Cricetulus griseus: one gene and its partners. The protein of the gene in region 7 interacts with the protein of the main gene of each other region in a pairwise test. Links are inferred from orthologs where the notes say so. Each region holds a gene or a part of one and is shown on either strand. Other genes may lie near its edges.

What was found.
Region 1: the proteins of Bend7 (region 7) and Eif1ad interact in binary tests that used the Homo sapiens proteins (3 or more experiments, as listed by UniProt). The two-hybrid records come from large-scale screens. The link is inferred for Cricetulus griseus from reciprocal best matches to the Homo sapiens genes BEND7 and EIF1AD.
Region 2: the proteins of Bend7 (region 7) and Mfap1 interact in binary tests that used the Homo sapiens proteins (3 or more experiments, as listed by UniProt). The two-hybrid records come from large-scale screens. The link is inferred for Cricetulus griseus from reciprocal best matches to the Homo sapiens genes BEND7 and MFAP1.
Region 3: the proteins of Bend7 (region 7) and Nkapd1 interact in binary tests that used the Homo sapiens proteins (3 or more experiments, as listed by UniProt). The two-hybrid records come from large-scale screens. The link is inferred for Cricetulus griseus from reciprocal best matches to the Homo sapiens genes BEND7 and NKAPD1.
Region 4: the proteins of Bend7 (region 7) and Usp20 interact in binary tests that used the Homo sapiens proteins (3 or more experiments, as listed by UniProt). The two-hybrid records come from large-scale screens. The link is inferred for Cricetulus griseus from reciprocal best matches to the Homo sapiens genes BEND7 and USP20.
Region 5: the proteins of Bend7 (region 7) and Lyar interact in binary tests that used the Homo sapiens proteins (3 or more experiments, as listed by UniProt). The two-hybrid records come from large-scale screens. The link is inferred for Cricetulus griseus from reciprocal best matches to the Homo sapiens genes BEND7 and LYAR.
Region 6: the proteins of Bend7 (region 7) and Lmo3 interact in binary tests that used the Homo sapiens proteins (3 or more experiments, as listed by UniProt). The two-hybrid records come from large-scale screens. The link is inferred for Cricetulus griseus from reciprocal best matches to the Homo sapiens genes BEND7 and LMO3.

Annotation. Positions count from the first base shown.
Region 1 is NC_048596.1:53,963,713-53,967,744, reverse strand, and holds the start of Eif1ad (probable RNA-binding protein EIF1AD), read left to right. Parts: upstream 1-1,232; 5' UTR 1,233-1,635; intron 1,636-2,058; 5' UTR 2,059-2,177; intron 2,178-2,660; 5' UTR 2,661-2,788; coding exon 2,789-2,875; intron 2,876-3,004; coding exon 3,005-3,113; intron 3,114-3,205; coding exon 3,206-3,314; intron 3,315-3,470; coding exon 3,471-3,518; intron 3,519-4,032. Other genes in the region: Banf1 (barrier-to-autointegration factor), read right to left, coding at 210-332.
Region 2 is NC_048599.1:56,944,767-56,948,266, forward strand, and holds part of Mfap1 (microfibrillar-associated protein 1), read left to right. Parts: coding exon 1-109; intron 110-715; coding exon 716-903; intron 904-3,500. UniProt on the Homo sapiens protein: Involved in pre-mRNA splicing as a component of the spliceosome.
Region 3 is NC_048597.1:162,382,226-162,386,346, reverse strand, and holds the start of Nkapd1 (uncharacterized protein NKAPD1), read left to right. Parts: upstream 1-1,321; 5' UTR 1,322-1,461; intron 1,462-1,532; exon of another isoform or gene 1,533-2,020; intron 2,021-3,208; 5' UTR 3,209-3,216; coding exon 3,217-3,285; intron 3,286-4,121. Other genes in the region: Pih1d2 (PIH1 domain-containing protein 2), read right to left, coding at 1-158.
Region 4 is NC_048599.1:142,696,758-142,701,029, forward strand, and holds the start of Usp20 (ubiquitin carboxyl-terminal hydrolase 20), read left to right. Parts: upstream 1-1,472; 5' UTR 1,473-1,593; intron 1,594-1,897; exon of another isoform or gene 1,898-2,109; intron 2,110-4,272. Other genes in the region: CUNH9orf78 (telomere length and silencing protein 1 homolog), read right to left, coding at 629-688, 1,004-1,086.
Region 5 is NW_023276807.1:107,180,002-107,183,501, forward strand, and holds part of Lyar (cell growth-regulating nucleolar protein), read left to right. Parts: coding exon 1-11; intron 12-99; coding exon 100-183; intron 184-3,205; coding exon 3,206-3,500. UniProt on the Homo sapiens protein: Plays a role in the maintenance of the appropriate processing of 47S/45S pre-rRNA to 32S/30S pre-rRNAs and their subsequent processing to produce 18S and 28S rRNAs. Also acts at the level of transcription regulation.
Region 6 is NC_048601.1:10,636,125-10,640,412, forward strand, and holds the start of Lmo3 (LIM domain only protein 3), read left to right. Parts: upstream 1-1,488; coding exon 1,489-1,513; intron 1,514-4,288.
Region 7 is NC_048596.1:221,924,520-221,928,523, forward strand, and holds the start of Bend7 (BEN domain-containing protein 7), read left to right. Parts: upstream 1-1,204; coding exon 1,205-1,265; intron 1,266-3,474; coding exon 3,475-3,558; intron 3,559-4,004.

The DNA of each region.
Region 1 (4,032 bases), about 170 Mb from region 7:
CAGCACTTGTGAGACAGAGATCCTGTCTCCAAAACAACAACAAAAATGACTTTGCCTCCCCAGATGCCCCCAAACCACTTCAAATTATCTACCACTGTCCGTGCCCTCCCCGTACCCCTACTTTTCCTAACTCCCAATTTTTTTGCTTGGAATCATCTGTTGCCAACTTTCACTCCTACCCCTCCCTGGCATCTGTGGCCACCCCACACCTTGTCAAAGCCCCTTTCCTCCAGCTTCTTGCCCAGGACTTCACCAATCCCGGCCAGGCTCCCCACTGGCTTTTCCCCCATGGGCTCTGCCACGAAGTCACGGTGCTTTTGGGAGGTTGTCATCTTGATCAGGTTTAACCTGGGAATCCCAAAAAAAGGCAGGTTAGGGCTGAAGACCACAACTCCCAAGGGCAACCTCCTAGGTCAGCTATTGTGGCTGCTTCCTCGATTCCCCCTCATCTCACACCTGAGAAAATTGGGGGCCAGGGAAAGTCTTTCCCCCGCTATTACATCCTGAAATCTCCACTTTCTGTGGGCCCTGGGATTTGGTAATGAGCTTGCACTAACAAGTGGCGCACGTAGAGAAAGACTCACAGCCTCAGCAGCCAGGGCCCGCCCTGAAGCTGTCACTCTTGGTGACCTTGGCCAGGCAAACACTGACCCCGACCGGAGCTACCACGTGGTAGAAATAGCAGCAAAAAGAGGGGCTCGTTACCCTCGCCGCCCTCCACAGGCCAACAGGCGCCGCGCACCGGCTCCCGCAGCCCGCCGGAGCCCACGCCTCGCGGCTCCCAGGCCCCGCCCCGGACGCGCCGCCCCGCCTCCTCCACGCGCCGCGGCTCGCACGCGCCGCGGCTCCCACGCTCCGCGCACCGCCCCTCCCGCAAGGCCAGGCTGGTCCGCTGCAGAGACGCGCCTCAGCCACGGGCGCTCCTCTCCCTCCCGCCTCCGCCGCCTAGCCGGAGCCTTACTTCGCCGCTCACGCTCACCGGCAGCTCCGGCTCTCGTAACGGCTCCTCCCGCCACTCGGCAGCTCCAGCCGATACCTCAAGTTGCTAGAACGTTCTTCAACTTCCGCTTCCGGGTCGTGTCAGGAGCCGCCTTTAAAAAAAAAATACCCGAATTGGGCACGTCTAGCCACAGAGAGCCATAGAGTTGAGGCGCAACCGCTAACTGCGGAGCCCACAGAGGTCGCTGTTTTCCGGTCCCTCACAGGAAGCCGCGCTGCTTTCTATGGTCGTGTTTCTCCGGCCCCGCTTCCCATCTATGAGACCGAGGCCTCCGAGGAGAATACTGTTATCTTTTTCTTGCCCAGCACCTGGAACTTAAAGACTTAGGTGGCCTGACTTGGTCGAGGGAAGACTAAAGGAACGGACAAAGAAGGGGCGGGGCATCCGGAGGGCTACTGAGAGCCCCGGAAGTGCAATTCTCGCGGGTTCCTCAGAGTCAGGTCTATCTGAAGCCGGCTGACGGCAGCTGGGAACACCGGTGGTCTGAGGCCAGGCGTCCAAACCGGCGCGACCGTCGTGACCACCTGCCAGTCGCATTTCTTTGCTTTTGTTGACTCCGTCTTGAAGTGAGTCGTAGACGAGCTGCGTTCAGCGTCTACCTGGAAAACGTAGCTTGCTTGTGTAACGCCGAGCGGGTGAGTGCTGTGGGCGGCTCTTTTCTCGAAGGGTTTTTCGGCTTGAAGCGCTGCGGTGGTGGCCGAGTCAGTCTACACCATGAGTGTTAGGAGGACGAGCATCTGTTGTATGGCTGACCTACACTTGGGGGTGTTAAAGCATGTGGAGGAAAGTAGTTTACTCAAACTTCCCCAAAGACGTTGTCAGCCCGGGCGGTGGTGGCGTAAGCATTTAATCCCAGCACTCGGGAGGCAGATGTAGTCAGATCTCTGTGAGTTCGAGACCACCCTGGTCTACAAGAGCTAGTTCCAGGATAGGCTCCAAAGCTACACAGAGAAATCCTGTTTCGGAAAAAACAAACAAAAGGTTGTCAGAATGATCGGCCTGGGAGGTGCGTATGGTTTCATCGTCACGTCAGTACTTATTTACATTTTTTTTGTTAGTTATTGAGAGGATATCTCGCTACGTAGACCAGACTGGCCTCCATATGCTTTCGTCTACCTCTGTGGTTTGGGATTAGAGTCTTGAGATTTAAGGCTTGAGCCATCCCCCTTTCTTCCAAGTAAGACTATAAGACATGTTTCCTGGTTTCTTTTACTGTGTGTGGGTGTTACAGGTGTCCTTGGTGGCCAGAAGAGGGCATTGGATTCCCCTAGAATTGGAGTTAGAGATGGTTGTGAACCAACTGATGTGGGTGCTGGGTCCTGAGACATCTCTCCGGCCCTTAAACGTCATGTTTGCTTCATTTTTGAGACAGGGTTTCACTATGTAGACCAGGCTGACCTAGAACGCAACAAATATCTGCATGCCTCTGCATACCAAGTGCTAGGAATAAAGGCATACACCAGCATCTGGCTAAACACGTGCCTTGTTTTTTAGTGATTTTTTTTTTTATGTTTATCAGTGTTTTTACCTGCATGTATGTCTCAAAATGAGGGTGTTGGAGGTAGGGTCAGTTGTAGCTTCTGTGAGTGCTGGGAACCATACCTAGATTCTCTACAAGAGCAGCAAGTCGCCAGTCCTGTAAAGCTCTTGTTTTTAACAGGGCAAGGTGGCACTTCTCTTATAAGGCTGCTTCTCCTGAGAGCAGTCCTGGCTTCTAAGACTGCCATCCACATAACTCTGGAAGAGCTGACGTTGTCTGCGTCCTAACAACCCTGGACAGAACCCAGCATGTCTCAGGCCACCAAGAGAAAACACGTGGTGCAGGAGGTGCTGGGAGAGCACATGGTGCCCTCAGACCAACAGCAGATAGTGAAGGTGAGAGCATGGGTCTCAGCTTTTCTCTACGCCCACCGGACCCCTGGGATGTGGGAAGGGCTCAGTGCAGGTCAGTGTGTGCTTGATCTAACTGGTGATGTGCCTAATTCTTGATCTTTCCTGCACCAGGTCCTGAGGACTCCCGGCAACAATCTGCATGAGGTAGAGACGGCACAAGGGCAGCGCTTCCTGGTGAGCATGCCCTCCAAATACCGAAAGAACATCTGGATCAAAAGAGGTTAGAGGCATCCCTGTACAGTACAGAACCATGACCTTGATTCTTGATTTTCTCCTTCACATGGGAATGCCTTTATCTTTTGTCACTTACAGGGGACTTCCTCATTGTTGACCCTATTGAAGAGGGAGAGAAAGTGAAGGCTGAGATATCTTTTGTGCTCTGCAAGAACCATGTCCGTTCTCTGCAGAAGGAGGGCCACTGGTAGGATAATTTCTAGCTTCTAGGTGTGGTAACATCTTAGCTATGGAATGGGGTAGGGGTGGTGAGGTTATGCCATCCCAAGAGGACATTTGGAAACAGCTATTTTGCTAAAAGGTTTCTCTTCACTCTCTGACCTGGATCTTCTCTTTGTCACAGGCCTGAGGCCTTCTCTGAGGTAGCTGAGAAACAAAACAGTATGAACAGGTGAGGAGCAAGCCCCAGCCCAGGGAAGACAAAAATACAATTTCATACCTTGGTGCCTCAAGGAGAAAGGTGATCCTGCTTTTCTGTTGAGAACTCTAACATACACAGTAGAGTGGATAGTTATGGGTATAGCTTAAAGGCCAAGTTAAAATACTGGCTTTGCTACTAAATAGGCAAGTGACTTTAGGTACAGTATTTAATATCTTCACACCACTGGGTGTGGTAGTATATACCTGTAATTCCGGCAATTACAAGGTGGAAGCAGGGGTTTGAACCAGCATTGTGTACATGAATCAGGTTCAAAGCCAGCCTGATGGATATCTGTGAGTTCGAGACCAGCCTGGTCTACAAGAGCTAGTTCCAGGACAGCCTCCAAATTGAGACAGAGAAACGTTGTTTTGAAAAACCCCCCAAAAAGAAAGGAAACCCCCCCCAAAAAAAGCCAGCCTGAGCTACATGAAATCTTTTCTCAAAAACAAGAGTTTACCTAAGAGACAGGATTATGCAAAGTAAA
Region 2 (3,500 bases), on a different chromosome or scaffold from region 7:
AGTAGAACCTGAAGTGGTAGGAGAAAGTGATTCAGAAGTAGAAGGAGATGCCTGGCGCATGGAACGAGAAGATAGCAGCGAAGAAGAAGAGGAAGAAATTGATGATGAGGTAAAAGGAATAATATGGAATTCTTTCCCCCAGGATACAAGAAAAAAATTGAGAACAGTGCTGATTTGTTGAGGCTATAAATGTACAAAATTTGCTACTTCTGTCTGAACTCTGATTGTGATTCCTGTTTGTTGGGGTTGAAACTGAAAATGAGGCCAGGCAGTGGTGGCACACACCTTTAACCCCCAGTACTAATGAGGCAGAGGCAGGCAGATCTCTTTGACCATGATGAATAAGCCTTTCAAACAAATGTCCATTCAGAGACACTTTTCTGTGAATTCGAGACCAGCCTGGTCTATAAGAGCTAGTTCCAGGACAGCCTCCAAAGCCACAGAGAAACCTTGTCTCGAAAAAGCAAATAAATAAATTAATTAATTAAGTAAGTAAGTAAAAATAAAGACTGAAGATGAAATCATGCTGAATTATGCTTAACCGTGTCAAAATTTCTTGAACCTGTTGAAGACAAAATCAAAGCTATGCTGAGGGCTCAGTAGTAGGACTAGACTTGCTATGCACAAAGCCCTGAATTTGGTCATTATCACCAAGAAAACAAGCTTGACGCACAGGCCATTTGAATAACTGGCTAAGCTGTATGCCTTGATATAGGAAATAGAGCGGCGCCGTGGCATGATGCGTCAGCGAGCACAGGAGAGGAAAAATGAAGAGATGGAAGTCATGGAATTAGAAGATGAAGGGCGCTCTGGGGAGGAGTCGGAGTCAGAGTCTGAATATGAGGAGTACACAGACAGTGAAGATGAAATGGAGCCTCGACTTAAGCCTGTCTTCATTAGAAAGTAAGTGTCTGCCACACCTGCTAAGCCAGGCTGTGTTCCCAGCCACTCAGTAGACTGAGGTAAGAGGATTGCTAGTTCAAGGCCACTCTGAGCTACAAAATTAGCTAATTCTCACAAAGGAGACTAGGGATATTGGTCAGTGATAAATGCTTGCTTAGTATGCACAAGGGCCTAGGTTCAATCCCCAGCAGAGGAAAAGGGAACAATTAGTCAAACCAGGACAGAATCAGGCTGGAGATATGGCTCAGAGGTTAAGTGCACTGGCTGCTCTTCCAGAGGTCCTGAGTTCAATTCCCAGCAACCACAAGGTGGTTTACAACCATCTGTAATGAGATCCGATGCCCTCCTCTGGCCTGCAGGGATACATGCAGGCAGAACACTGTATACATAATAAATAATAAATTTTTTAAAAAAGGACAGAATCCACATGATTAAGTTCCAGTCTGACAATAAAAGGTTCTGAATCCCACTTTTTCCTGTAAAGGAAGTCTTCTTTCCAGTGCCCTATCCCTATAGCAAAAGTGCTGAGAAGAAGCCAGATGTTTGCAGATCTGCAACAAAAGGTGTTGTTTTTAACCAAGTCTCTATCGTTCTATTTTATCAGTAAAGACTTGGGAGCCAGATGCTGGAGTGAAAACCCACTTGCTCAGAGAGGCAGAGAAAGCACCCAGCTGCTTCCTTCTCTGTTTTTCCCCTATCCTGTCTGAAACAAAAATTCCTCCAACTGGATGTCCCTCCCTTCTACTTCTTGTGCCTTTCTCTCCAACCTCCCAACTTTCCCTCACTCTCTATGGTTACTTCCAGTCAACTAGTTGCTTGTTCTTGACCTATGGTTGATTTTATTTAAATAACACAATCTCATGGTTCATGGTGTGATCACATAATCCTGAAACATAAAGGTAATCCGGGTGTGTCTATGTTTGTGTTTTGAGATGCTCTGGCTATGCTGCCTGATTCACTGTGAGGCCTAGACTGTCTCAGACTTGTGATCCTCTTGCCTCAGAATCTTAAGTGCTGGGCTTACAAAATCAATTTTTGTTGAGGTTTTGTTTTTGATTTAGTGATACTAGAGATGAAGCCCATGCATATGCTAGGAAAGTGCTTTAACACATTGCCAGGGAAAATCATGTTTTAAACACAAAATTAAGCTTATAAAACAAATTTCTTTATTTCCTAATGCTTAGGAATCCTATTTTACAGTCAGCCCAATAGGATTCTTGTTAAATCCTATTGGAGTCAGTGATAAATGATTAAGGGAAGTTTGATGCTGTAAAGACCTGAGATGAAGCTAGCTTAATCTCCAGTTCCCATATGGTGAAGGAGAAAAGCAATTCCCAAAAGTCCTCTGAGCTTCACCATCATGTACACATACCATACATTCCTATACATAGTACACTCAAAATATTAATATGGAGAGATGGCTCAGAGATTAATAGTTCTGTTAGGCAGTGGTGGCGCACGCCTGTAATCCCAGCACTTGGGAGGCAGAGGCAGGTGGATCTCTATGAGTTTAAGGCCAGCCTGGTCTACAGAGTGAGTTCCAGGATAGCCATAGAAACTTTGTCTCGAAAAAAGAGAGATTAATAGTTCTTGCTGCTCTTCTAAAAGACCTGGGTTCAATATCCAAGAGCCATACAGTGACTCATAACTGTATGTGACTCCAATTTCATGGGTTTCAGAACCAGAAGAGGTTCTGGCCTCTATGGATATCAGGCAGATAACTCAGTATACAGACATGCATGTAGACAAGGCATCCAAACACATGTTTTTTGTGTTTTGGGTTTTTTTTTTTTTGTTTTTTTGGTTTTTTGGTTTTTTTTTGGGGGGGGACGTGGTTTCAAGACAGCTTCTGTGTGTAACAGTCCTTACTGTCCTGTAATTTGCTTTGTAGACCAGGCTGGCCTCAAACTCACTGAGATCCACCTGTCTCTGCCTCCTAAGTGCAGATTAAAGGTGTACATGAAATTTTTTAAAGTTTTTTTTTTTTTTTTTTGTATGGGAGAGGGTAATTGAGACAGGGTTTTCTCTATGTAGTCCTAGCTGTCCTGGAACATGTATCATAGACCAGGATAGCCTCATAGTTTTTTGTGGTTTTTTTTTTTTTTTTGGTTTTTCGAGACAGGGTTTCTCTGTGTAGCTTTGGAGTCTACTCTGGAGACCGGGCTGGCCTGGAACTCACAGAGATCCGCCTGCCTCTGCCTCCCAAGTGCTGGGATTAAAGGCGTGTGCCACCACTGCCCTGCTATTTTTTTTTTTGTAATAATGATAATAAAATAAAACAGCAGAAGATACGACTAAGTAGTAAAGCATTTGCCTCTTGTATCAAATCCAGGGTTCAAATCCTATTACCAGAAGAGGGAAAAAAAGTCATGCTGTATTTAGGGATAGAAATAAAGCTCAGGGGGCTGGAGAGATGGCTCAGAGGTTAAGAGCACTGGCTGCTCTTCCAGAGATCCTGAGTTCTATTCCCAGCAACCACATGGTGACACACAACCATTTGTAATTCTACCTGGTGTCCTCTTCTGGCCTGGGCAGAACACTGTATACATAATAAATAAATTAAAAAGAAAAAGAAATAACAGCTCAGTTGGTAGATT
Region 3 (4,121 bases), on a different chromosome or scaffold from region 7:
CAGAATTGTGGTTCTGGGTCCACACAGAGCTTTTTTCCATCTTTTAGCTCCTGTTCAATAAAGTTCTTGTAGCGCTCAGGATCATTTTCAGCCAAATCGTCGAGCATATTCCAGAACTGGGAAATCTGGGTGAGAAGGCCCTTTGAGGATGCCCTCATGATTGGTGATGAGATAGGCCTCCAGAACCTGTGGAAAGACACGACTTGAGAAAATACATGTCTGTGTGGCTATGGCCTTACTTCCTCTTTCAGGAGAGGAGGGGGCTTTTGTTTTGGGGAAGCTCTTTACTGTTCTTACTTCCTATGTCTAAAAGATTGTGTAACCACTCTGCTTTACCTTGGCTCTTCTACAGCCTGTAAGTCTAACCACTTCCTAAATTCCCACCTTGTACCTGTACCTCTCTCTGGCCTTCACAAACACAGTGGGAACAGAAAGGTCTTTTTAAGTCTTGTTTTTCCTATTGATATTGTTCCAATAGTTGAATATTGGCTGACTTGGTGTCTCCCAGCCCTGAAATTATGAGTGGTGTGTGTGTATGTATGTGTGTAAGAGGGAGAGGGGAGGGAGAAAGAAAGAAACAGAGGCACATTAGTCCTTAGTATAATAACTAAAAGTAGGAACACTGAGCTGGGCAGTGGTGCATACCTTTAATGCCAGCACTCTGGAGGCAGAGGCAGGTGGATCTATGTACGTTCGAGGCCAGACTGGTATACAGAGCAAGTTCCAGGACAGGAAGGGTTACATATTGAGACCTTGTCTCAAAAAAACTGGGAGTGGGGGGTGTGAGGTGTAGGGTCACTGGAGCCAGTATGCTTAAGTTCTTCCTAACTACAGGCAGCTATATTGCATTGAGCAAATAATGTATATATATACACCTATTCTTCTCAAAATGAAGACGAGGCCTAAGAACGCCAATACTTAAAGCGGGAACACTTGATAAATATTATGTACGAGTAGTATTCTAAGATCGTATCATCACTCTCCTCCCGCAACGGAGAAGTGTCCCAAACGGTCCACAAAAATATTTAAAAAAGAGATTTAGAGTCTTTAAATCGTGCATTAAGATTAGATTTAATAAACAAAGAATACACAACTTATCCCAGTGTGGGGAAACCCACCTCTTCAGTCAGTGTCTAGACAAACCGCGACTCCCGTTACCATGGTAACCAGGTCCGGTACAGCATCTAACTGTGTCCGGGGAGTGCAAAGTAGAACGCCGGCTCCATATCCCGTTCCGGATCTTTTCTCCAGCGCCGGACTGGCTCCTCAGAGGGGCCGTCCCGCTCCCTCTCAGGAGGGTGCCGGCTTCCTTCCTGCACCTGTCAGCTTCCCCGGAGACCCGTGAGCCCGCTCACAGGGAGTCTCCCGTGGGGAGGAAGCGTTTCTCGGGGGCACGACTTCCGGCCCGGAAGGAAGCCGCCGCCTTTTCTCCCACCCCGCCACGCGAAGCTGCGGCGCACGGTATGGGTGTGTTTGTGTGTGTTTGTGTGGGGAGGGCGTTTCGAGGGAAGGCTGCCGGGAGCGCCGAGGCCGCGGCGGGGCAGGGAGCCCGCTGACAGACATGGGGGTGTTTTTTCCGACTTCCCCTTGGAAACCTCCAGCTTCCCCTCAGGCACCCTAGACACTTCCCGGGTCCCAACGGAAGGCCACGTCCATGCCCTGTGTCCCCATTCTGTCCCGGGAGTGAAACCGAGCCGCCGGGCGCTGTCCCAGCCCAGCGAGAGCGGGGAATGCCCGGGCCCGCCCGCAGGCCGCGTTCCGCGCCTGCGCCCGCTCTGGCCTTGGTCCCGGAGAGAGAGCCGCCTGGCGGGCTCGGCTGGGGGAAGGCAGCCGTAGCCTGGGCCTCGGGTGAGGGCACTGTAACCGGTGGGAAGGCTGCGTTTTCACGAAGGACTCGGGTGAAGCTGCAGAGCTGCCTTTCAGCCCTGACTCCTTGGCTTCCTGGGTCGGAGGAGATCTTGTAATGGAGTGGTTCTTCGTCTCACACTAACAAGATGCCTGATTTCCTCAGGATCGAGGGGTGAGTGAGCATCCGGACGGTGGCACCAAGCCCCTCGTAGCTACACATGTGAATATCTTTGTCTTCTGGGTTTCGGAAAGTTCCAAACATTGTAGGAAACAAAATGTCCTGAATAGAGATATTTAGGTCATTAATTTTTTTTTTTTTAGAACTCAGTATTTATTGCTGTTGACATATGTGATGTTGATACCCGCAGATCTAGATGTTTGCTTAGTTGCAAACTGATTTTGGGGAGTTTGAGATTTGATTTCTAACTTGGATACTGATATACATCCTTTGCCTGGGTCTATTCGCCCTGGGGCCGAGGGACTTAAAGGATCTTGACTTTCAAAATAGGAGTGGGGATAGAGTCTAAATTCGGGAATCCCTACAGGTTCAAATAACAGCCAACTGAAAATGTTTGGGTAATCAGATTGCATCTGTACTTATCATGTACAGACCTTTTCCCCCCTTTGTCATTATTTCTGATCTGCATAGTAACATTTTTACATAAGAGTTGCATAGTTTTAGGTGTTAATAAGTAAGCTAGATACCCTACCCACCCTAAGTGTGGAAGTGCATGTATGTTGTCTCTGAATGTGGGAGGTGGAGGCAAGAGGATCAGGAGGATCAAGGCTCACTGAGGCTAGGGGAGACCCTGTCTCAATAAAAAGTCATAATTTAAAACACACAGGAGTGTAGTTTATATGCAAATACTATGGTATTCTAAACGAGAGACGGGTACCCTAGGATTATTGTGTGTGTGTGTGTGTGTGTGTGTGTGTGTGTGTGTGTGCATGTATATGTTACTGGGGGACTGAATCCAGGATGGCTCTTGTGCTTAGGGAAATGCTCTTAGCATTGAACTATATCCCCAGCCCACACTTGGATTTTGTTAACTTTAGGGGCCCTAGAACCAATCCCCCCCATGGATCTTGAGGGACTACTTGACTCTTAAAACATAGAAAATTGTGAGGACTAAATAAAATGGTGCTCATAGGAGCAATTTTTGTGCAGCCTTCTGCAATTTTAAGGACTTTTTACTGTACATATCCTCTTCATACTTAACGTTCACTGAAGCCTTTAATGCTGAAAGGAAAATTCTCCCCTATGTTCTGTGTCTTCTAAGTTCAGTGATTCCCCCCTTTCCTTTTGTTTCTTTATAATTTAATAAAAATAAATTTATTACATACTATTGATTCATTTCAGATTAAAGAATGTCTCGGATTCCACTGGGGAAAGTCCTCCTGAGGAATGTCATCCGGCATACAGATGCTCACAATAAGGTAGGCAGTACAATCTAGTCACTTATCAATATCTCTTGAGGGCATACAGTAAACTATGACTTATGTTGGGAGAGAGCAAAGATGTATAAGAAGCAATCATAGTTTGAAATGTACTATATCATGAAGATAGTTACAAAATGTTTTAGAGCACTAAGGAAGGAATAAAGAAATCTGCCTTGGGAAATTAGAAAGATTTCACTGAATAAATGGTATTTGAGTTGCTGATATTTGAACTGATTCTTGATGAATAAAGTTTATTGGATGCATTGTTTTTGACTGAGATCACCATGCACTAATACAAGGCAAAATATCAGGGGTTGGTGATGTATTTTATTGGTAATGCCTCATATATGCAAAGTCCTTCATTCCATGCCCACCCCTCAAGCATTAATCACTCAGGGAAAGAAATTATATGCATCTAGAAAACATAAGATACAGGAATAGTGACCGAAGATAAGGCCCAAGTCTCACATTAGAGTTGTTTTTATGAGATTTAAGAGGTAAACTTTCTCTTTGGGTCAGTAAAGAAGTCATCATGGAGGAGTGGAACCATACATGTGTCATACCTGTAAGTGTTGTTTTACACCATGAGAGCATGAGGTTGTATGATTGCCATACGTTCAAAGACAAAAATGTATGATTAGACAGATGATTTTGTCATTGTGGTAGGAAATAGAAGGTGGAGAGAAGTACTGGGGAGGATGATTAGGTGACTGACGTGCTAGGTGAGTGGTGCTGAGGTTTGGATGGAAGCATAGCAGGGGCAAAGAGGTACTCAATAGGATGTGACAAGAGTAGAGTCCAGAATACCATCTTCTGTGACTGGATAGGTAGTA
Region 4 (4,272 bases), on a different chromosome or scaffold from region 7:
TAAACTCTTATCTGTCAACACGTTGTCATTCACAATTCATCCGTGCAATTAAAAACTCCAATTAGGGCTGGAGAGATGGCTCAGAGATTAAAAGTACTGGCTGCTCTTCCACAGGTCCTGAGTTCAATTCCCAGCAACCACATGGTGGCTCATAACCATCTGCAATGGTGTGCAAGTATACATGCAGGCAGAACACTGTATAAGTAATAAATAAAATCTTGAAAAACAAAGCAAAACAAAAAAAACAACTCCAATTAGCAACAGGGTGGTGGTGATGGCTCATGCCTTTAATCCCAGCACTCAGGAGGCAGAGGCAGGCGGATCTCTGTGAGCTCGAGGCCAGCCTAGTCTACAGAGCAAGTTCCAGGACAGGCTCCAAAGCAATACAGAGAAACCCTGTCTGGAAAAACCAAAAAGCAATTAGTGACCTGGAGTAGACTCTGATACCACCAGGCTCAGGGCATGTGGCAGTTACACATTTGAAAAAAAACTGGTCCCCTCTTCGACCAGTGCAAGGTGTATGTCTAGAGAAAGAACTATGTCGAAGGAGATATTTGTAACTGAGACCCTAGCTGGAAGTATCTGTGTCATCAATAAATGACGCCACCCCCACCCCCATGGTACCCACCTCACCCCGTTTGGCCTCTTCCTTAAGTTCTGCACCTCTCGGGTTTCTTCAAGTTTTAACCTGGGGGGAAATGAATAAAAAGCAATGCACAGGCTGAGAGATCCTCTGCGGAACTCAAAGCTTAACTCAGTTCCGGGGACATCCGTGTCTCTCGGCCGAGTCCCTGGCACTGTGGATCACCGGCAGTCAGACCCATGCGACCCCGGAGCACCTTTCCGAGCTTCGGGACCGGGGAAATGTGGCCTTATCAGCAGGAGCCTCTGAAAGACAACAACCCTGGCTCCCGGTCAGTGGTGTCAGCGCAGTGCCGGCCGGTAGCCAGTCCCAAGGCTGTTTCCCTCTTCCTGGGCCGTGGAGGTCATGCCAAACACGTACCGAACCTCCTCTGATTCCTGCTCATCTTCCTCCGACTCCGAGTCAGCCCGCCGCCGGCGGAAAGTCTTCCCAGTGATCCGCATAGCGGCACCAGATCTTAGGAGCGGCGTTACCTGCCGCGTAGTGCCGGGAACCTCTTTCTCTTCCGGCGCGCAGAAGTGTCGTCAGAGGGCCGGCTGCATGCAGACCCGCCTCCGGGTGTCCAGGCCGCGCCCCAGCAGCATAGCCACCAGCTCCCAACTCCAAAAAGCAAGGGCAGGTACAGCCGCGTGGCCACGCCCCAGCGCCGAGACTGTGCCCTCCACCAGCAAGACAGTCTTCGAACCACGTGGCCACGCCCCAGCAGCACGGCCACTCCCCCTACTCCCAGCATGCATGGGCACTCAGTACTCGCACGGCCACGCCCCCAGCACGCACGGTCCCGCCCCCTAGTAGGCAGCGCCATGTGACCCCGCCCCGTCCTTGGCATAGGCTCTCTCGATTGGACAGCTGACGGTAGGGAGGCGGGGCACGACAGGCAGAGCCACAAGACTCTGCGCGGCGTCGCGGTGGGCGCGCTTGACTGACAGGCGGCGCGGTTGCGACGGCAGGTGAGTTCCGGACGGCTGATGCCTGGTGCGGTGGGCTGGGCCGCTAGAGCAGGGACGATCGCGCCGCCGCTGCGAACTGGGGAGGCCTGGCTTTGCGGGGCAGCCGCGATCTGGGGAGAGGTCCCCGCCGCCCACCCTCCCATCGACCGGCTCCTGTGTCCGCCCCAAGTCCCCACGGCCCTGGCTTCTCCTGAGCAGGCCGCACGTCGCTCGGAAGGCCAGCGCGAGGCCACTCGGGCTCTGGGCCTCAGATGTGCAAATTTATTTCTCACGGACAAAAGCTGAGCGCCTTGGCGGGGGTGAATATCAGTCCCGATACCAACTCCCCCGTACCAGGGTGGTCTGCTGCTACTGGTCCCTAGGAGGGATGCCACTGACGTTCAGAGGCCTCTCCAAGGGTGTGAAGCCGGGGACTGCCCTTCGAGAGCTCGGGGTGTCTCCTTTGGCCTGGAGGACTCGCTCTGTCCTACACACCTTCCACCGCCAAGATGTTGCGAGAGTAGTTAGCTTTCAAAGGTATCCATAAACACTTAGGAGATGGATAAGTGCATGCGTAATGGCTCACATGGGACTTATAGGGACTCCTTAATTACTAGTTTCCTCTGGAGCAAAGCACTTCTTAACTGTGGCAGGGCTAAGCATTCTCTCCTAAAAGTCTCCGGTCTAATCTCACGAAGTAGATGCAGTTGGGTCTGTCTTCCAACTGAGGAAGTTAGAGAAGGCTGAGGCTTAGAGAAGTAACCTGTGCTTCAAGTTACACAGCTGGGAAGGGGAGCTCAGGTGGGGGCATAGTTTTCCCAGCTGTGGGATTTGCATCAGGGACAGCGGGCCTCTATGGCATTCCAGTTCATGGGCTGGGGCGGGGGGGGGGGGCGGGAGACTGATGGAGACTTTTTTCTGGAAAACTATTCTAAAGCAGGGAGGCATGTCTGCCATGCTTTGGCTTTTCTCCAGAACAATTTTCTCTGAGGTTGTCGTTCCTCTTAAACTAGGACAAAGAAGACTGGGATGTCTTGAAACAGCTTTTTTGCATTAATGAAAAATACATTAAGTATCGAAGTCTTGACCTCCCAGCAAGGCTGTTTCAGCCATTGTTAAATGTGTATGGCACTCACTGGACGCCATGTCTCTGTTGGCTGAAAAAGAGATTCCGTGGGAACTGCTGCACAAACCCAGGGAATTGGATTACAACTCTCACAGGCTCAGGGGTGTTTTTGTTTTTTAGATGTGTTCTGCCTACATGTATTCCTGCAGGTCAGAAGAGGGCACCAGATTTCATTACAGATAGTTGTGAGCCATCATGTGGTTGCTGGGAATTGAACCCAGGACCTCTGGAAGACCAGCTAGTGTTCTTAATCACAGAGCCATCTCTCCAGCTCCAGAGGTAGTTCTTAATTTCCCTGCCTGGCCATGCCCTGCCCCGTATCCCCTAGGGTACTGGGCCATGCTGGTACTGGCAAGGAAAGAGTCAGATGGTCGGGAGCATTTTCATACAGTCCTTATTTGAAGACAGAGAGGGACATCTGATACAAAGCCACCCTCGTCCTTGAAGCCGGAGTGCCAGGTGACATCCAATTCCTGGGCTGTGGCAGATGGAGTTGATTCTTGTTTAATTCAAGTGCTGATTAGAGTGTGGCAGCCAGAAATTGACCTAGGTGCCTGGGTGGAGAGACTTCAGCTCCTGTGAGTCATGTTCTTAAAAGTGAGACTGCTTCTGAGAGGGAACCTTCAGGAAAGTGAGGGGTTTTCCTCTTCTAGTTCAAAGATGAGTCTCCAGTTTTAGTTTGGCTTGGACGTTGGGAATGGTGTGGATTTCTCTGTGGAGCTACATGGATGCCCAAGGAGCAGTCATATCTCGATGGTCCCTGCCATAGTAAGCATTCAAGAAATGCTTGTTTGAGCCAGGTGGTGGAGGTGGACACCTTTGATCCCAGTACTCAGGGCAGAGGCAGGCAACCTGGTCTACAGAGAAATTTCCTGGACAGCCAGGACTACACAGAGAAACCCTGTCTCAAAAAAACCAAAAGATGAAGAAAAGGAAAGAAAAGAGAAAGAAAAAAAACTTGTTTGAAGGGGACTGGGGATGCGGCTCAGTTGGTAGAATTCTTGCCTAATGTGCATATGATGCACCCTGGGTCCAACCTCCAGCATATAAACCTGGCAAACTGTTTCATGCCTGTAGTCCCAACCCTTGGTTGGGTCAGAAGTTCAGGGTCATACTCAGCTACATAGAGAGTTGAGGCTAGCTGACTTAAGTCTGGCCCACATTTGACTATCTCAACGTTAAGAAGTCATCTTGGAGCCGGGCGTTGGTGGTGCACGCCTTTAATCCCAGCACTCGGGAGGCAGAGGCAGGCGGATCTCTGTGAGTTCGAGACCAGCCTGGTCTACAAGAGCTAGTTCCAGGACAGCCTCCAACCAAAGCCACAGAGAAACCCTGTCTCGAAAAACCAAAAAAAAAAAAAAAAAAAAAAAAAAAAAAAAAAAAAAAAGAAGTCATCTTGGAAAAAAAAAGTGAGGTGTAGTGACACACTCCTTTAATCCCACCACTTGGGAGGCAGAGGCAGATGGATTTCTGAGTTTGAGGCCAGCTTGGTCCACTGAGTGAGTTCTAGGCTAGCCAGGCTACCTCCTTGCTCCTTCCTTCCAAGCCGCTCCTGAGCCGTCCTCCAGAGAGCA
Region 5 (3,500 bases), on a different chromosome or scaffold from region 7:
CAAAATTTCAGGTATGGATTTAAATGCTGTTCCCAAATTGAGGTGTGGCCCATCAGTGACCTGTCAGAGGCGACAACGGCTTTCTCTTTATATCTACAGAACTGGATGAGGAACAGCCTGAAAGTGCACAGTGATGCTATTCTGGAGCAGGTGTGGAACATCTTCTCTGAAGCGTCCAGCAGTGTGAGTCCACTCTGCCTTGCAATTACAGTCTGATAGACAACTGGGAATAATGGAATGGGGTGCTGTGTATGGTGGTTGAGATGGCATTTCCAGAGAGCCTCCATGCTCTCTCTTTGATGGGCAGGAATGAGGTAGGAGCACCTGGACAGTGTGCAGGACAGCATTCAGCCTTCAGCATTCAGCATGCTGGGCAGTGGGACAAGTTTTTGTAGAATGATTGGCACAGCGGTCGGGCTGGGTAAATGGGAGTGACCCAGGATTTGATGTCTGACTGACTGGACTCCACTGTGTTTGATCAATGTACAGCACCCATGTACATCCTGTTTGGGAACTATGTTCAGTGGTTTGAAAGCAGGAGTATGCACATTATTTAGCTTAGCCTTGGATCCTCAGTGTTCTAATCGAAAACATCTGTGCTACTATACACTTCTTAGTTATTCCTTACTTATTGTAGACCTCAAATATCTCGGAAGTGGATTGGTGCTGTGAGAGAAATTTAAGCAGGCCGAGGGCAACACATCTTTCAGCCAAGAGTGTGTGGGGCCCCAGACCACCTCCCTGCATGTTGTAGCTATACTGTGGGTATTTAATGGGTGGTCAGTCAGCCTGGGCCTGCTTCTGCTACAGGGAGAGCATTTGAACCATTAACCGACTATTGAAAGTAATTGGGTAGAGAGCCCCTAGGTGTGAACCATAGGAACAGAACTTGGCTTGCTGTTCTTCATACAAGTTGTTGGTTCTATTGTTAATTACAGCACCCATGTACATCCTGTTTGGGAACTATGTTCAGTGGTTTGAAAGCAGGAGTATGCTCTGACTGGTCTTGTGCAGCAAGTTATTTACATTAGCATTAAATTCTAAAATTCTAACCAGCAAGACTAGTATTGAATGTCCCCAAAGGCCCATGTGTTGAAGTCTCCTCGTCAGCTTCTGACACTATTGGGAGGTGTGGAGCTTTTAGCAAGTGAGGCCTGGTGGGAGGAAGTTAGGACATTGAGGACATGCCTTTGATGGGATGTTGAGACCTCAGCTCCTTGTTCGCTTTGCTTTCAGATTTATGACAAGCAAGTGGTTTACCTTGCTACTTCCCTGCCTGAGACCCACAGCTTTTCAGTCTTGGACAGGAACCTTCAAAATCATCAGCTAAATGTTTTCTAAGCTAGTCACCTCAGGTGTTCGTTATGGCAATGGGAAGCTGGCTAATATATTATAATAACTTACCAGAAGAAGACAGTCGTAGGGAAAGGGTAAAGGGTGTTTCCCATTCCTCCTCCTGGGTCTGTTTCTGCATTCACATTAAGCTTCTTTTCCCTGGGAGCCTTGTCAGCTTCTGAGAAATCCTCAACAGTTAGTCTGCTTCCCAGTGCTGCCCTCCCAGGGGACTGAGTTAGTACACCAGGTGAAGTCTGGTTTGCCTTCATTTTGGCATTGCAGAGAGGACTGGGTAACTTGTTCCATATCATTTGGTTGTGACCAAGGAGTGGAACTTGCTGTCATGCTTTTGAATGCCTCAACCCAGGCTGGTCAGCACCTAGGGCAGCCTTATCCCTCCCTCTGCAGAGGCCCACAACTTACAGGCAGTTCAGTGAACTGTTCTCCTATATCTTGAGAGATCAGCATAGTGGGAATATAGCAGAAAGGGGACTGTTAGCATGGAACCTGTTGCCCTTTCTTACTAGAGAAAGTCTGTTTCAGCCAGTGCATGCAGTGCCTTGGATTTCTGGGCTACACCAACCTCAGGCTGGGCTCTTTGTGAAGGAAAGAGGCTTGGCTGGCTCAAACTTTGGAGGTTGGAAGTCTAAGATGAGGTGGTTTCATCTGTTTAGCTTCTGGCAGACACAGGTAGTGCTGTGATGGGAGCCTTTTTGGAAGTGGTGACATGGTTGGCAGGAAGCTAACAAGGTGAGGGCAGCATTCCTGATGACCTAACTACCATAGGCCCTCTGTCTTGAGGTTCTGCCTCTTCTGGTTCCATCAAATCCGAAGCCATCCTGCAATGTCTGCCCCTGCAAGAGGCACTCAAACCCTAGCAGACTTTACTTCCCATTCTTTACACTGGTAGCTGTCTGTGACCATCCTAAGGATGGCCATCTCATCTGGAGAAGGATGATGTGACTGCCTTTGTCTGTGTTCCATTTACACAGCACTTACCAGCCTTGTGTCCACTGCACTACACACTGCATACCTTTCCTGTGTCTGCTGTACACGGAGGGTTACACATGCCCTGTCCTACAGATGAAGCAGACACAGCTCCCTAGCACTGTAGTTTTTTTTGTTTGTTTTTGTTTTTGTTTTTGTTTCTTTGCTCTTTGGGGCCCACTACCCAGCTCCCAAATAAACACCAGAGACTTACTATTTATAAATGCCTTGCCTTAGCTTGGCTTGTTTCTAGTCAGCTCTTCTTAAATTAGCCTGTCTACCCTTTGCCTTGGGCTTTTACCTTTTTCTATTTCTGTATGTCTTTTCTTTCTGTCTGTCTTTTCTTCTGTGTCTGTCTGTCTGGGTGGCTGAGTGGTTGGCTCCTTGTGTCCTCTTCTCTTCTCATTTCTCTTATTTATTCTCTTTCTGGCAGCCCCACCTATCCCTTTTCTGCCTTGCTTTTGGCCATCCAGGTCTTTATTAGATCAATCAGGTGTTTTAAGCAGGCAAAGCAACACAGCTTCACAGAGTTAAACAAATGCAACATAAAAGAATGCAACACATCTTTGCATCATTAAACAAATATTCCACAGCATAAACACATGTAACGCATCTTCAACTAGTGTTCCACAGTATGACATCCTGCATCTGGCTATTCTGTCTTCATCTAAATAAAGGGTGACAGTGAGCCAAAATTGCAGACTGGCTTCATTTCACCCTTTAATATCATGAAAACGGGTTCCAGATCAGGATGTGAGCTTTGGCGTGCTTTACTTGTATTGCTAAATTTTAGCTGTTGGTGTCACAGTCATAAATAGTACGGTATGGACAATAGGTGTGGCCAGACCAGATACTTAGATGATTCTTGTTTTTACTTCATAAGGAGCAAGATCAGCAGCCACCCAGCCATGTGGCTAAGTCATCTGCAGAGATCCCCACTAAGGTTCCATCTGCCCAAACAAATGGCACCACAGAAGAACAAGTAGAGGCAAAGAAGAATAAAAGAGAAAGGAAGGAAGAACGACAGAAGAATAGGAAGAAAGAGAAAAAAGAGCTGAAATCAGAAAACCTGAAGGTCCAAAAGACGAAGAAGCGCAAAAAGGGCCAGGAGGCTGGACATGAGGCTGGTGGGGAGGAGACCACCAAGGCCAACAGCCCACCAGAAAAGAAAAGGGCCC
Region 6 (4,288 bases), on a different chromosome or scaffold from region 7:
GGCTTCCTTCAGCTCAGGCTGCTCGCACGCTGCTGGGGTAAGTTGTCTGGAGCCAGGACCAAGAGAGACATCCCCCGGACGGCAGTTGCCTAAAAGAAGGACACCTGTGGCTCGCATGCAGTCCACACTGGTACTTGGCGGATCCTGGAGGACCTCATTATTTTAAACTTAAAAAAAAAAAAAATAGAGATCCACCCCCCCTTTTTTTTTCAAACAATGTTTCTTTTTGACCTTTCCCAAGGAGAAGCGCTACCAAGCAGCCTCTGTGCTCACTGAACACCCTCCCCTGTATCGCTTAATTGAGAAGGTAAGTAAGAGGCTGTGTACACACGCGTCGGCTTATTTGTGCTGTGTGTGTCTCCGGGTGCGCGCGTGCGTGTGCGGATGTTGGGTGGTTTTCTTCTTCTTCTTCTTCTTCCCTATCCTCTCCCAATGAAGCATAAAGTAAAGCTGCACGCGAACCATCACCACCACCACCACCACCGCTGCAACTTTACTGGCTGCAGGTCTGCAGAGACGATTTCTGTTTGTTTGTTTTGTTTAAATCGTGGGAGGCATCATTATTTTGTATGATGAGACACAAAATAGATGCGGGGCGGAAGATGAGGATGCCTGAGGAAGAGGGGGAGCGTGCGGCTACAGCGTGACATCTCAAGTAGGAGTCCAGAGCATAATAGACAAAGTTCACTGGGAGCTGCGGCATCCAGACACCCTATTCCGGAAGAGGGGTTGAGACAGTTTGCAAAGGTGTTTTTTTTTTTTTGGGGGGGGGGTAATGCTTCCAGACTAAGGGAAGTGGTGTCAGTCTCGGGTGTTTTCTCAGCCCTCTCCATGCCTGATTGGTGAAATCCGTGCCCTCCCCAAAGAAAGAGTTGAAATTACAACCTTGTTCTTGCCCACACCCCTGCTTCTACCCAAGGCAGCTCTAATAACAAAACACTGCTTCTGTGTGTTGCAAAAGTGACTATGTTGGACCATGCAAAGAGGAGACAAGTGTCCAGTAGAGGCAGGTTCCTTGGATTCAAGTGCCTGCATCCTAACAGGTCTAGAGATTCAGCACATTCTAATCGGGGCTACTCAGATTGCTGTTATGAAACGCAAGTCAGATTTATGATCTTTTTCATACCGAACACGATATGCTATGCTAACACTGCGTGTGACGGTTTAATCAAATCCATTTGTTACCAGGAAGCTAAAAGGGGCCGCTGGGATTTTAGGATTACGGGCAGAGTTAGGGAAGCATGTGGCTTTGTCATTCGCCATCATTTTACACGTTCCCTTGTCCCTTCCCCCACCGCCTGCCTCCCTCACCACTAGACCCTAGCTCCCAAAGTGGCCTCACAATAGTGGATCCTCGGCCCTGTACGCTGCTCACCAGATCCACGCTTGGGCCCCAAATCCAAAAGTGACTCCCCTCTTCTACTTCCTGCCTGTGGGCTTGGTGCTCCATGCGAAGCTGCAGCGGCTCAGGCACGCCTAAGACAACTCATGCAGAAACAGGAGAAAAGTTTTGGTAAGGTTACAGTCTTTCATAGATGCACTTTCTCGGGGCGCTCGGCACTCGTGGCTAGCTCCAAAGCCTGCCAGTTCTTCTGTTGCTGAAGACACGAAATATTATTGTGTCTACTGCTTTTAAAGACTGCTGCTTTCCACCAATTAATCTCGCTAGGTGCCATAAATACTGGTACATTCTTTGCAAAACCATTCCTGTGTTGCTGCAAAGACACAGCCACAAAAGGTTGGATCATAAACTCCGCAAGGGGATTCTTTGTTAGAGTGTATGTATGTTTCTTATTTTTTTTTTATTTTGCATGTGAGCTGCATCAAAATTGAACCCAGTCTTGCAAATCTCTTGTTGGCCTTTGCCAAGCACTAGCACTTTGCTGCCATGGTAACTGTAATTAAACTGATAAGAGTGGGGAAATGTCAGTATCTCTGAGCCTTGCAGCTGCATTGGAGAAAAAGGGAATCAAATTGGTTCCCAGCTCCATTGCTCAAAAAGGGGAGGGTGGTGGAAGGACACGGAGGGGGGTTGGGAGTTGAAGGGGCAGAACAGAGTTAAGCAGCTCTAGTGCCAGAGATTTGGGGACATCTATTTGCATTGTTTTCCCTTAGGGGGCTGCAGCCTGTAGGGGTGCTCTGGGCCAGTGAACAGAGAGAAACAAGCTTTTAGGCCCAATCCAGTTTTCCAATCTGGGTTGGGGGGAGTGACTGGGAGTGGGATGAAGATGGGCAGGAGGAGAGAAAATCTTTTGTTTGGTACTCTTGGCAATCGAAAGGCTGTGTTGGCCAAATTCTTTTAATCTATGTCATTGCTCCCAGCTGCGAAACCTGCAGTCCCAATTTTAGCATCCTCTCTTCCAAAAGCCCTTCTGACAGAGCCCCTTCTCCTTTTCCCCAAATTGTCCTCTGTAAATCTTCTGAAAGGGAAAGAATGTTTCCCATTCATTCTGTGTGATCAGTCCAAATAATACATTGGTGTAAAAAGAGAGAGAGAGAGAGAGAGAGAGAGAGAGAGAGAGAGAGAGAGAGAAGGAAAGAAAGAAAAAACACTGTGCCTAAGTGCTGCGCATCTTTCATTATTGTGATTATTTTTTAAGCCCCTGTGTGTTGTGGAGTTGTGGTTACTTTGTTGTGTTAACTACTGAAGCTAAGACTGTGCGGATGAATGACACAGAACAAGGGAACATAATGGATGCAATCAACCGTCAGGCCTTCTCACAATGCAATCCAGGCAATTAAAAGCTCACCAGAGTTTAAATGAAACGGTTCTACTTATTTCTGCACAGCACACTGCACAGGCTATTATTTATGTCTTTTTTGAAAATTATGATTTCCCTTAAACTGTCAAATAACTCAGAATGGCAGGGTCTCAGAGGCAATAAGAATTTCCCTCAGAACAATTTGCATGCCAATCTAAAACTAGTTATGAGTGCTGATGGGCTGTGAGCAACTTGTGAAGTGTCTCTTAGCCACGAACACATAACTCTCCCCAGACGTACTCTCTTGGATCAAGAGCAGAGACTGCTCAGTGCTTTCTGCTTTTTAGGTGCTTGGCACCGTGGTGACGACCAAGTGATTGTTTGCCTACATTTTTTTTAAATGCATAGAATGGAACAGATTCCATTTGCAAGAGAAAAGGGGTTAGTGTTCTTTAAAAGAAGATATGAGGATGGAATAGAAAATATCAAACTTCTTTTATACACAAGGCCAAACAGAATGAAAGAGTTTCAGTTATTAATTGGCCTCTGGGTGCTACATTAAAATGTCAACACAACAAAAACGCTTTGTGAAGACAAGCAGTATAATATTCCTTGTGCCAAATGTTGGTATCTGCTGTCTTGGTTACAATTTATTTTGAATAAAGATAGCTGAACCTTTACACTTAATAATAATGTCACAAACATTGGAAATAATGGAGCTTAGCTTCCTAAGAAGAATTCCTTTTTCATCTTTTAGGTGTGTGATATAAAAAACACAGACTTCAAATTAGATAATTAGGACGGTTACCTTTAGCATACCTCTGTATGCTTTCAGTCATGAAATCCGGACTTCCTTAGTAAATCAGAATCCCCCTTTTCCCCCAAGTATATGACTAAGAGGCACCTGGGCCTGTTGTGCACTGTAATTAATGGGACTCATGCCTGTGGGACCTTGCTAGCAAAGGATAACTAGTTCTGATCAAAGAAACTTCATTTGTTAGAAGTTCTAGAGAGTGAGATTTAGCAGAGCTATCAAGGGTTATGATTAATCTACACTAGGCCCTTAGCTCCTTCAAAGAAAAGGAGCAGAAAGCAGGCTACAGGGGTACCACCTGCTCTTCAGCACAAATCTGCTGCTGGTCCACAGCTCAGAGCACTACAGCCATGCCTGTCAGGCACACAGAACAGCCACCCTGCTTTCTTCCCTGCATTCCCTCCTCTGCTGCTCTACCACACAAGTTGTTCTCCGATGAAAGCTCAGGAACATTCTAATATTATGTGTAGTTCATGTGACATTGGTAGCTGGGAAACTCATTTGGCTGTGGGCATACGTTCATGCCCCTTACCAATGTGATTTTCTTTTACAGGCAGAGGAGGTAATGAGGGCTGAACCCTTCATCACACGGTATCAGAAGGAAGGAGAGAGTTTACTTATCTTGAGGAGAAATGAATCATAAATGCTTCATTTTCCATTCTGAAACCCTCTTAAATGCATTCATATTTGGTGCTTCATATCTTTGTCTATCTAAGTTTAAAACTTTATGCCTAGGAGAGGAAACAGTGTTAATGGGTGGTCTGTGGATTGC
Region 7 (4,004 bases):
CTTTCTTATTCCCGCTTAAAACATGTTGTAAGAAATGGCGCCTACAGCGAGTGCACTCTTAGCTCCTCAAAGAAGAATATTACATAAAACTACCGATGGCCATCTGTGGACGTCAATTATCTTGGTATCTCTGCGTCAAGTGGCAGAGTCCCCTGCACCTGCTATGACCAATTTCCCTACGAGCCTGCACCCCTTGTATTCCTCACCCCTTGTACTCCCCTCCCCCAAGCCCCATTCCAAGCAGACCCCTTGCATATAACTTCCTCCTACAGCTCTCAGGATGGGGGTAAAGAATCGAACTTCACTCTTTCCCATAGTCTTCTCAGCATCACATTCTCGAATCTCTTCCCGTTTGCTTGTAAAACGCGGATGGGTAAGTTCTGCACCCCCTGCTAAAAGTTGCCTAAAATCGGTGTCTGGCCCAGGCACCGCCCGCCTCTCAGACAGAGCGAAGGCTGGCGGTTGAGGAGCTGTGATCCCTGGCTTATTTCTAAAGGCAAGCTCGCCTCCCGGAGCGGCGGAGGGAGGCCCCGCAGAGCGCGGTGTTCGCCCGGGGGCAGCTCCGTGAGCCCGGGCCACCACGGACGCTGCGCTGCGGCCTCCGTGCCTCGTTGGGGCGCGGCGTGGACGAGGCCAGTGGTGGCGGCGGCCCCCGGGGGATGGCGGCGGCCGGGCTCCGCCAGCAGGTGGCCCCCGGGTCCCGGCGGCGCCGCCCCTCCGCCGGCGCGGCCCCTCCTCCCGCGGGGGCGGTCAGCGCCCCGGCCGCCGCTCCGCACCCGCCGCTGCCGCCCGCTGCCGCTGCCGCCGCCGCCCTCCCTCGGCTAGCCGCGTCCCCCGGGCCGCGTCCGCAGGCTGAGCCCAGGCGGGCCGCGGCGAGCACCCTGCAGCTTCGCGCTCCCGCCCGGCCCCGCTCCCAGCGGAAAGTTGGGCTGCGGCGGGCGGCGTTCGGGAAAGAGCGAGGCGGCATGAGGGGACACCAAGGGGGCGCCTAAGACACCGAGAAGGCGGCGCCGCGCGAGGGGACAACTTCGCCCGGGAGCCCGCTCCCGCAGCCCCCGGCCGGGCTCGCGGTGGTTCCTCCCGTCCCTCGGCCTCCCCCGCCGATCGAGACGCGGACCTTGGTCCCGGCGGCTCCGCGGCGGTGCCACGAGCCCGCCTCAGCCGCCGCCTCAGTCTCCTGCCGCGCCGCCACCTTGCCCGCACCATGGAGTTCTCCGAGAGGAAAAGAAGCAGGAAATCCCAGAGCTTCAAACTGGTGAGCCGAGGTAAGCGGCCGGCCCGGGGACAGCGGCGGGAAGCCGGCGCCGCGCTCCGCGCACTCGGCCCCGCGCGCCCCGGCCGCCCGCGGGCTCCACGCCGGGGGCGCGCCCGCCACGACCCCCTCATCCCCGCCCGAACCTGGGGCCCCGCGGGCCGTACACGCCCCGCCGCGGGGAAAGTTGTGCCTGAGGGGACCCACAGGGTGTTATTGAAGGTAAACAAGTCGGAGGGCACGTCAGGAAATTAGCAAACAATGACACCGGGGAGCCGAGCCCTCTCGGGGGTGCCGCCGCCGTGGCCGCCGCTGGGCTGAGGTGGCTGACGGTTTGCCTGGCCGGCAGGCCGACCATATACTGAGATTTGTTTTTGTTTTCATTTTTCCACCCCGCAAAGAGAAGGGAGGGGGAAAAAGATGATCATTGTTCTTTCTAAGAAGAATCAGCTCATTAGGGATCCAAGCTGAAAACAGAAATTGTTGACATACAGCATCTTTTCTAGTTGAGTGGTTTGGGTGGAAAGGTGTTTTAAGACTAGATCGCCTACCAGTCAGCCAAAGTGTCATTACAAGAAAGAAAGAAAGAAAATCCCAGCTAGGTCCTGCCGACTAACAGGTGTACAGCACACTCTTTATGCTTTTTTTTTTTTTTTTTTTTGTCCGGGGAGGAGAAAGTTGAATAGTGTCTCCTGGGTTCTGTTACTTATTCGAACTGATCTTCCTGATCTGAGTCTTTTTTTAAAAAATGATGACAACTCAAGATAAGGAATACACCTGTCAAAATGTCTTGTGTCACCTTAATAAACGAAAGGGGTGACATCCCTCCACCCCCATGGTAATGTCACGGGCCCTAATACTTAGTTTCAATCCACCTTCTTTAAATATCTATGAATCAACTTGAGGTCAAAGCCAAATCACAGAACCTGTCCACTTTCCCTGAGTGATTTTTATCTAGCATTGGCATTAGAGTAGAGAACCACGTGATTGTTCCAAGGACCTGAGAATTCACGTGTAAACAAATGGATATTGGAGGGTGATTTCAAGCCATCAAGTTTCTCAAACTCAGCTAAGCTGAAAGAAGGATTCTATGAAGCCTACTTTTGGTTAGTCTGGAAATGGTTTAATTATAGACATTTTGAGGATCTGCTCATCTGTGTTTCCCCTAATTTAGTTTTGTACTGTTTAATGATAGAGGCCTGAAATAGTGTATGTATTCAAAATATTTGGCTCTTCTTTCTTGGTATACCCCACCCCACCAACAAGGATGTTGATTACTCGGTTTTTGTACTTTGTAAATCTCTCCATGTGTAATGGCCCTGTTGATACAATGTGCTCCATTCAGGACTAGGGGCTGCTTTTCTGTCTATGACCTCCGGGAACTGACTACTCTGTCTTAAAAGAGAGGGCAGTTTTGTCACATTGTCCTGTGAAAGCTTGGATAGTTGATGGAAAGAGACCTCTCTTTTCATACCCGAGTGATTCCACTTTGTAAAGTTACCAAAGTTCTGTAGCTTCCACAGGAAATTTTAAGATGTTGTATTTGAAAATCTGATATAGCAAGTTCTTCCTTCTTTTTTTTAAGATGAGTTTGATTCTGCTGTGCAGGTGCTTTTCAAAAAAATTTTTGAAGGAATGCTAAAACTATTTTGTGTTCAATAAAGTACAGTAGTTTAATGCAAAAGATTAACTTATGTGAAAGGTAAAAATCTTGTTTCTTTTCGAAGTATCCTCTTTTTTTTTTTTTAAATAACACATCAGTATCTTTTTGGAAAAAAATGTGCTTACTTTGAAGCTTAGATGCTCTGAGTAAACTGAGTCAAGAGGTAGTTTTGAAGCAAACTACTAGTGAGATGCTCTCAAAAATGGGCAGTGGAAATAAATTTGGGAGACTCCCCTGGCCCTCAAATCGGCAAGATTTTTCTTTTTCTTACAAATGTCTTTGCTGTCTCAGAGAAAAGAAACCTGATAATTGGTATCTGAGGGCAAACTTTACTGTGAAAACTAACCAAGCATAGCTGTCTGTAAAGTCAAAGTAATGTTTAAAGTTTGTGTACTTCACAGAGAGCCAAGTTTGAGTGGTTTCTGTTGACTACAATCTCTGTGAGAGTCTTGAAAATATACCTGTAAGTTACACATATAGAGAACGGGAGTCTTGAATTGCTTATTCCTCTTTCTTGAAATCATTAAAATTCTAATTTTCGGTTATTTTCTCGTGCCAGATTATCACCATGAGGTGTATAAGATCTCAGAATTCAGCAATGATGTTAATGGGGAGACCAAAGAGACACAACCCATTTTTTTAGGTAGGTTCCTATGTCAATTAATTTCTCAGCAAAACAGCATGGTGTGGCCATTTGCAATTTCAGGGGCAGGGTTGGGGGAAGAGATTGTGCAAGAAGGGGAAATGTCTGCCATCGCTTAATGTATGACATTCTTTTCATTCAAGACCTTTTATTTTACAGATTGCCAATATATCCCTTATTAACATTGCTAAAAGTTGTAATTTCAGACATAAATGTTTATTAGTGTCTACACACAGTGCTAATTATCACTCAGTCACAGAGCCAGATGCTGACTGCGCAGTTTTGTCGCTCGGTGCTCACCCCATTTACATTGCATATTCGCTGGCATGCTTCACTGGCAATAGTTTGTGTAATTGGGGTATTACATCTTTGACATCTGGATAACAGAAATTCAATTTCCAGGAAGCTGCTATTTGTTTGGTTTTGCTTCTGCCTTGGGTGGGATA